2 linked regions of the Rattus norvegicus genome follow. The protein of the gene in region 1 purifies or fractionates together with the protein of each later gene. This does not show direct contact. Links are inferred from orthologs where the notes say so. Each region holds a gene or a part of one and is shown in the gene's direction. Other genes may lie near its edges.

What was found.
Region 2: the proteins of Arhgef7 (region 1) and Pak2 purify together in Homo sapiens (co-immunoprecipitation; 5 studies listed by BioGRID and IntAct, with this or other methods). This does not show direct contact. The link is inferred for Rattus norvegicus from reciprocal best matches to the Homo sapiens genes ARHGEF7 and PAK2.

Annotation. Positions count from the first base shown.
Region 1 is NC_086034.1:84,372,358-84,376,791, reverse strand, and holds the end of Arhgef7 (rho guanine nucleotide exchange factor 7), read left to right. Parts: intron 1-190; coding exon 191-290; intron 291-531; coding exon 532-586; intron 587-1,490; coding exon 1,491-1,613; 3' UTR 1,614-3,665; downstream 3,666-4,434. UniProt on the Homo sapiens protein: Acts as a RAC1 guanine nucleotide exchange factor (GEF) and can induce membrane ruffling. Functions in cell migration, attachment and cell spreading. Promotes targeting of RAC1 to focal adhesions. May function as a positive regulator of apoptosis.
Region 2 is NC_086029.1:82,211,566-82,215,945, forward strand, and holds the start of Pak2 (serine/threonine-protein kinase PAK 2), read left to right. Parts: upstream 1-1,369; 5' UTR 1,370-1,590; intron 1,591-3,301; exon of another isoform or gene 3,302-3,418; intron 3,419-4,380. UniProt on the Homo sapiens protein: Serine/threonine protein kinase that plays a role in a variety of different signaling pathways including cytoskeleton regulation, cell motility, cell cycle progression, apoptosis or proliferation.

The DNA of each region.
Region 1 (4,434 bases):
GCTCGCCTCTGCTGTTTCCTTTGCTCTGTGATGTCTTGGTTGGCCACACCCGACAGGCAGACAGCTGGGGGAAAGCGGTCAGAAACTTTACTGTAGTCACTGGTGCTGTGTAAGTGGTGTGTAGTGACATAGGTGCCCTTTCTTGTTCCTCAGTGGCACTCACATGGGACTTCTCTTCTTAATGACCCAGGTTCACGCAAAGAGTCTGCTCCACAAGTGTTGCTTCCAGAAGAAGAGAAAATTATAGTCGAAGAAACCAAAAGCAACGGGCAGACAGTGATAGAGGAAAAGTAAGATGGCTTTCTGTTCCATTATGGCTCCCCCCCCACGCCCCCAGTCCATCCCATGGGTGACGTCTAGGCTTGGGGTTAGCCTGAGGTACCCAGGTGGGCTCCTCTCTGAAGTTACAGATTTAGACAAGGGGACTCAGTAGGCAGAGCTTGGGCTCTCTGCTGCCCGAGGTGGCCCTGGTCCCGGCCAGTCTTTGCCCCTTTGTCTTTTTTCGTGTGCTTACTCACTCTCCTGTTCCAGGAGCCTCGTGGATACCGTGTACGCACTAAAGGATGAAGTCCAAGAGTTACGACAGGTATGCCAACCAGTTTTTACTTTTAATCAGTTGGTTTTAATAGGAGAAAAGGGGAACTGTTTAACACGGAACTCTTTGTGTACTAAACGGAACCACAAAGTCCACTGCCTTTCCGAGCAGTGACGGGCGAGGGCTGCAGAGACGGTACAGCGGGTGAGGTCCAAGCTCAGCTGACATCCACAGGGCAGCTTATCACCCCAATCCTGGGGTATCGACTGCTGCCTTTTGGGTTTGCTGGAGTGATGTAGGATGCTGTCCACTGTGGTACCTAGCCAGCTATGTGTGTGACAGTCTTTTGCCTAACTTTAAGTTGTGCTTTATTCCTTTGTATGTATGACATGGGTGGAGCATGTGGCATAGCACATGTGGAGTTGGTTCTCTTCACTCTATGTGGGTTCTGGAATCAAACTCAGGATGTCAGACTTGCCCTGCAAGCATCTTCACTGCTTGAACCACTGTGTGATGTGTATGTTCAACGCTGGTGGGAGTGCAGGCGCTTTGGAGGGACAGGGCAGCGATGTCCTGAGGGTGGGGTAACTGGACACACTTGGCAGTGCCTGTCTGTCCTTCCCCACGTTTGGGGCAGCGTGCTGTCCTTCCTTCCTGACCTGCTTCATTCAGTTGCTGGGGCTTCTGCTCTGCTTTTGGCTGGATAGGAATTAAAAATGGTAACAGTAACATTGTCCTGACACTGTTACCAGCCCCTTCCTTCTGGCAGGCAGTTTTATCAAGTTGTCTTCATGCGTGTAAGTGGGAGATGGCCGTTACTCTTCAGAGTACATTCACGGTTCAGTTTCGTTGGCCAGCCCGCCCCCCCCAACCTAGCGACCTAAGGATTGAGCTAGGATGAGGGATGCCGTGGGTGCTGAGGTAGTGAGCCTGCTTTCGTCTGCTTGCCTTACAGGATAACAAGAAGATGAAGAAATCCTTAGAGGAGGAACAGAGGGCCCGCAAGGACCTAGAGAAGCTGGTGAGGAAGGTTCTAAAGAACATGAACGACCCTGCTTGGGATGAGACCAATCTATAGGCTGACTTCATTCTCATAGGCTGAAGACCAGCAGCTCCTGGACAAGGCTGGGGCCCTTGGTCCCCAGCACAGTGACATTCAGGACTAAGGAGGTGGTCTTCAAAAGGCAAGCAGCAGTGATGAGCTGTTGCTGAAGTAGCTACATGTGAGTTCTAGACACCGAGGCCTGGGCTGAGTGAGCACCTCGCTGTACACCTCTCCCTGCAGTGACTGACCAGAGTCCTCGGCTTTGGGACTTGAGTTGAATCTATAAATAGCTTACCTGTGTACTCCTTGTAAATACTGAGATCTGAATGAACATGTACCTGAGAGGTGACTAGGCTAACCCTCTTGCTAGGATTTCCTTCTCAGCCTTTCTGGCCACAGGGATCTGAAGTTGTGTTCCTAAAGTGTTGGAAGCAGAGAGGTGAAGGGATGCCCGGGCAGCATCTGACTCGTGTGCAGTGTAGGCTCCTTGGTGCCATCAGGAGCAGGCACTCAGGCACAGTGGATTTGTGTGTCTCTTTTAACTGCAGTATTCCAGTCCCGAGCTACGGCAGTACCCAGGGCACCATGGGTTCTAGGAGGGTGAGACTGGTGCCCGCCTCTGCTGCGCTGTCCTGCCTGGGCCCTGGGTCACAGTGTGGAGTAGTGGGCTAGCCTGGTGTATCTTGGCCCTGTACATAGTTGTGTTATTTATTCCATATTCTTTAGCCGGTGCTGCCGGGCAGGGTTTGGCTGCAGGCCGTTTTCATCCACAACCTCTGCTCTGCCTTTGGCTGCAGCCAGCGTTGTCCAGGCCACTGAGAGCCCTCTTAACCCTGAGCAAGACTAAAGCAATACACACCGCACTGGAGCAGCGCGGAGAGCCTCAGTGCTGTGCCCCCGCCCTCCCTTGCTGCCTCCCCAGGCCCAGATGGGCCCTGGAAGGCTGGTGGCTTCCAAGAGGCCCTGCTTCTGTTGGGCCAGGCTTGCCCTTGATTTGGCAACAGTGACAGTGACCTCAGGAGCTTAGCTGTCCCCTTCCTTTCTCCAAAGAGGTTGTTTTGAAGTCAGAGATACTTCCCCATAGAAAGGTGTTTGTCTTTAAACACTGAGGAGCAGTGTGGCTGGGGCCTCAGCATAGCCTAGGTTGTGACCCAGCTCCTGGCCGCTCGTCCTCCGTGCAGGTTTCTGAGTGGGTGTGTGGAGGCCCTTTGTGCTCTCCTTCCTCCACACTCTGGCTGGGTGCAGCGTCTGTCAGGATCCACCAGAGCCTCCCGCTCCTGTTAGCATTTTACCAGCCCAGTCTGTGCCGGGTGAGAAAAGCTGAGGTGTTCTTTCTCTTTGGTAAGCCCTGCTTCCCAAGCACTCTCCGACCCAAAAGACACTACAGCAGAGGACAGTGTGTTCGCTGTCACAGTGGACCTCACCTCAGGAACAACGCTCCTTGCAACTCCACTGCTGGCGACTGGTGCCTGGGGTTGCTGGACAGCTCCTCCGCCAAGAGCAAGCGAAGACCATCTCTGACGCGGTCCTCACCCCGCCGAGGTGGCTGTGCAGGCCCCAAGGACAGTTTTTACAGACCTGCCTTAATGATTCGCTTGGAGACTTCCATGAGTATCCCTACCCTGGACAGGGTGGTAGCGTTGTGTCAGCACGCCACCCTGTCCTTCTGAGATCCAGTGTCTTCCAGGCTCTCAGGGAGCGAGAATCTGCACCCGGAGCAGTCCTTTTTAAAGCTGGCACACACCCCGTTCTCCTCCTGCATCTCTGCGGTGGAGCTCTGACACCCACAGCACAGGGTGCCTCTCACCAACTCCAACTCCTCCGCGCTCTGTGAGGGATGAGGGGGATTAAGCCATTTCCTGTCCTCTAGTGAAGCACTTTCCGTTCTGAACCATGCTGCTGCGTGCAGCCTCTGAAGCTCCACTCTTCCCTCCCAGTTGTTGCCCACGCTCCCTGTGCACCTCATGCCAACCCCTCCTTCCCTGCGACACTGCAGGAGCCGGTGCTGGCAGACCGCACCGGTGTGACTGCTGCAGTGTGTGTGCTGCCCCCTCCAATTATTAAACTCCTTATTTTCCTATCTCACCAATGTGTTGCTCCATCTTCCTTGAGACGCTCTCCCTGTGTGTGTGTATCTTGGCTTTTTAGGTTTGAAAATCCTCATGTGTTCAATGCAGGAAAATACTGTTGAAATCTTTTTTTTTTTTTTTTTGAAGCTGGGGACAGAACCCAGGGCCTTGCGCTTGCTAGGCAAGCGCTCCACCACTGAGCTAAATCCCTAACCCCTTACTGTTGAAATCTTGTGGGAGTATTTAAGGGTCCATCAAGTTGGAATAACAACTGCAGTTAGGATGTGGGCCATTGCGTGGATTCCGTGTTCTGGAGGAATCTGGTGTCACAAGAATCGCCTTGTGACAAGAGTATTACTGTGTGCCGTTAGGTCAGAGCGCTCTCTGACACTTCCTGGAGGCTGGGCGTGTCCCTGGTGAGCGTGTCTCTTGCTCCAGTCCAGAGGGTTGGGAGACACCCTCAACGTTGGGAAAAGCTGCCAGTCAGAACTGCAAAGCTAGGAGCTGCAGGCACGGGCCTGGGATACTCTGGCCTTACATTTATGACATGGTGCCTGGACGCTCAGGGAAGGAGGCAGGCCTTGGGCTTGTGTTAGCACATGGTTTCAGAGGTGGCTTAGCTCTGTCACATGGGGCCTGTGGTAGATGTGAAGGGTTCACTTATGGAGGCCAGGTGCAGACGGGAGGGCCAGGGACCAATAGTCCCCTTCAAGGATACACCCAATTGACCTACCTTTGATGGCTCACATTTCTGCCAGTATTACCAAGCCTTCAGCGCCAGGATC
Region 2 (4,380 bases), on another chromosome or scaffold:
GTGGCTGAATGTAGGATTTGATAGGCTGCAGAGAATAAAATGGTACACACTAGATATGCACTTCAGAACTGTCCTAAGCAGCCATAGTACTGGTTACTCATCGTCTTGCTTCTTCCAGGATCATGTAGTTTATCTGACCTCCAAGTCACTCTGTATCCCCTTATCCTTCCTCTACCTGCCAGTACTCTAATTCCTCATCTTACTTCAGCCATCCAAGTGCTGGAATTGTATCTTGTACTGTAGTACTTCCTAACCTTCCCATCTTAGACCAAGCTGCAGCTACACAAGTCTTCTTGTGGCTTGACTGTGAGCCTGGCCTTCCACGGTTCAGCCATCTCTCCCAGCCCTACATGGGTCTTCACTGACCATAGCATTCCTTTTCCTGCTTGTACTTCCCATCCCCTCAGTCCTTCTAGGTTTCCTTTTCTGTTTTCACTTTAAATGCTACTTTCTCTGACTACTTTGTCCACAGTAATCCCCCAGGTTTTTTTTTTAACCTTGTAATGGGTATCAATGTTTTGATTATTATGTTTTCATATCTTTAATTTACAAAGACTAGGGGAAGCATGCCCATCCTCAAATCTCTGGTGCCTAATGGTGTCCTTTGTAGATATTAGATAGTGACATAGTTATGGAATAAAAATACATAGATTATGGGTTGGGGATTTAGCTCAGTGGTAGAGTGCTTGCCTAGCAAGCGCAAGGCCCTGGGTTCAGTCCCCAGCTCAAAAAAAAAAAAAAACAAAAACAAAAAAAAAAAAAAAAAGAATACATAGATTAACTCCTCCATTGATAAAAAACAGAAAAATTAAAAAAAAAATCTTTGCAAAGAGAGAGGGCCTAATTTAGCAGCATAATCTGGTTAAATTTGTAGGTTAAAAAAAAAACAAATAATAATAATAAAAGCAAAGTGAGCTGGGCAGTGATTTCCAGCACGCAGGAGGCAGAAGCAGGTGGATCTTTTAGTTCAAAGTCAGCCTGGACTAGAGTGACAACACAAAGAAACCCTGTCTTGAAAACCCACCCCCTCCCCAAAAAGAGCCAAGTGGTGAATGGATAAATTTTCAGAAACAAACACCCTGTATACACAAACATGTACGGATCAGGTGTTCTCCGTCAACATCTTCAGTAGGTAAAACATAACTGCAGACAATGCAGAATGCAGAATTAAATGAGGGACAGGTTTTCTCCTTAATGCCCACTGTCCCGGGCCTCCCCGGCAAATGACTGGACTACGGTTCCCAGCAGCCCTGTGAGAGCCCGCCCCTCGGGGCATGACCGCGGTAGGGGCGGGGCTATCTTACGGTCCCGCCCCGCGCCCTGCCGCCGCCCTCCCCCAGGGTTGTGGCCACGCGCAGAGGCAGCGGTTGTTCCGCTTCCCCTCCGGCCCGGGCCGTCGCCATTGCCGAAGGCTCCTGCCCTCCCCTCCCTGGCTCAAGGGGTTCTGCGCCTCACAGCCTCGGTAGCGACGGCCGCGCCCCGCGCCGCTCCTCTCCGCCCTGCCATCCTCCCTCTCTGCTCCCCAGCACAGTGCTCGCCCGCGTCGGCCCGGCAGCCCGCCCTGGGTCGGGCGGAGACCTTTCCTCTCTGGTAAGTGCGAACACCGCTGGCCCGGGCCGGGCCGAGCCGCCGCCCTCCTCCCGCCTCCGCGGCCTGGGCCCAGCGGCTCCGGACGCCGGCACCTGCGGGCGGGCCCGCGGCTCCGGGCGGTGGCTCATTGTCTGCGCCTTGGCTCTCCTCAGCTTCGACCGAGAGGAAGCTTGCGGGGCTGTGGGGACCCTGGCCACTGCGGCCGCTCTTGCCCTTCTCTCCGGCCGGCGCTGCACCGGACGCCTCGGGTTTGTTTCTGGATGTTCCCTCCTTTACCAGCTGCGTTCTCTGCAGCCTCGTCGCTCGGGAATCCTGAGCCCCTTAAGTTGAGTCTGTAAACTCTTCCTCGTTCTCCACATTAGGAGAAAGTTTTGCAGTGCTCTGGGAGCCTGTGCTTAAGAACAGAACTTAAGGATCTTACAGTTTTTGCTTGATCGTCAGCCAGGAGGTGAAGATTTGCTTCTTAAGGTTAACTTGGGCTGAGGTTGGCTTTTCACCATGTTTGGCTGTCTGAAACACGCGCGCCCTCACTCAACAAAAAAACGTTGCTGCAAATAACTTAGTGGACTCAGCCTTTTGAATAGTTCTAGATCAAGTCGTCCAAGACAGAATGTTTAAAATAATTACCATTGTGGCTTGGTGGGAGGCTCTCCTCATCCCGTCTTAATAGAAATAGGTAGAGTGGAAGTGAGATTTGTTTCCTCTTTGACAAATCACCAACTCCCATCGATAGCCGCCAGGTTCTTCTTTACAAGTGACCTGTGGATCTTCTAGCTTTTCATTTCTAATCTTTTAAAAAAGACAGCCAAACCGGTTAGGCCCAAAATTAGACAACGTCGAGCTGTGTTTTGGATGAAAGCTGTGCACGTCACGTTTTTCCCCTGCTGTGTTCGACTCTTCCGCTCTTATAAGTAGGCAGGATATTGAAATAAATACACAAGAATTTGCTCTGGGGAATTTTTTTTTTTTTTGGTAGAGCTATCCAAAAGAATAGTATGAATAAAATTAGGTTGGGGTGAAGGCAGTGAATAGTAATTTTTAAAGCAGGTTAGGGCATGTCAACTTTGCCAGAAGCTCTGTGGCATTTGTAGAACATTCTTGTCTCTACCTCAGTTCTTCAGGTGTGTGTGTGTGTGTGTGTGTGTGTGTGTGTGTGTGTGTGTGTGTGAAGGAAATATTTTCATGTACTTTTACACCCATCCTCTTTGCCTTTTCTAGTCAGGGCCTCATTCCAGCTCTGGCTGTTCTGACACTCTTCCTGTCTCAGCTTTATGTGCTGGGATTACACGTGTTACCCAACACATTTGGCAGCCTCTGTTTTTAGATCTTTCTAGAGATTAATTAGCCAGGAACACTATTGTACATTTACATAGGGAAGCTAAATTTTATATTGTTGCTTACATAGATAGATAGATAGATAGACAGACAGACAGACAGACAGACAGATTGATATGATATGATAAAGTAACTTTTGGGTTTTGGTAAAAGAGGTTGCCCTAAATTAAAAATGTTTTGTTCTTGTTTTCAGTAGTCTATCATTACCTTTCCCTCTACCAAGCTTTCGGGGGGGAAATGGTTTAGTATCAAGTACTGGCATCCTTTGGTGCTAGGAATTTAGGTGTAGAATTGTCAGGGAATGGAAAAGTACCTTGAAGTGAGCTTCTGCTATTTCTTTCTCTTTTTTAACCCCTCGTACTGGATTGAACCACAGACCTCCCTGTGATGCTAGGCAAGCCCTCCATCCCTGAGCTACAACCCCGGCTCTCCCTTCCCTTTTGAGACGTCCCACCCAGTTTCCCAGGCTGGTATTGAGCTCCCTCTCAATCAGGTGAGCCTTGAACTGGTGTTGATTCTTCTTAATCTCCCTCGTAGCTGAGATTGTAAATCTGTGTCAGCAGAATGGTTCATTTCTTTCCAGAAGCAGGTGTTTGTTTATTTTTCTTTTAAAACTGGCTCTTTCTTTTTTTTTTTTTCTTTTCTTTTTTTTCTTTTTTTTCCGGAGAAGGGGACCGAACCCAGGGCCTTGTGGTTGCTAGGCAAGTGCTCTACCACTGAGCTAAATCCCCAACCCCAAAACTGGCTCTTTCTTTGATACCCAGGTTTGTTTCAAACTTCTGGACTTAAGATCTGTATCAGGATCCTAGTAAGTGGGTTTACAGATGTGCACCATTGTGTTGGGCAAGCATACATTTTTTTTTTTTAAAGAATTCTTGAATATTTCACTTATCTTGGGGCCTTGATTCCAAATTTACCTTTTGAGAGAAAGAGATTAATTCTTCTGGTATCTTATCATACCAGCACTGCAAACCTAAATTTATAAAGTGATAATTTTTAGTTGATATATGTCTAATAAAGGGTTCTCATGTTTCTTTGATCTTTGATAGGCAAGTTTCCAAGTAGACTAGACGAAGGCTAGTTTTCTTGTTCTAAATGAGGGGACTTAGAACCTGTGCTGGTTAGCTAAAGTTAGGCTCTGAATTATACTTTCACAAAGGGCAGGAACTTGTATAGGTAGCCAAGTAGAAAACAAGTAGCTGTGGTTGAATCTTGACTAGCTTCATCAGTGTCGGTTAATACAGTGATAATGTTCAGTATACAGTCCTTTCGGTTTTCTGGATTTGGTTCAAATTGGACTGTGTTCAGTTCTTGCGACTAGATCAGGTCTTTCTCCTCTCAAGCACTTCTAGTTACAGAATTGACTGATTCTTGTCTAATTAGAGGGAGGTTGCTACTAGCAAACTGAGCTACTGAGTTCTCGTATCCTTCTTATTCTTTAAGGAATATTTCAAT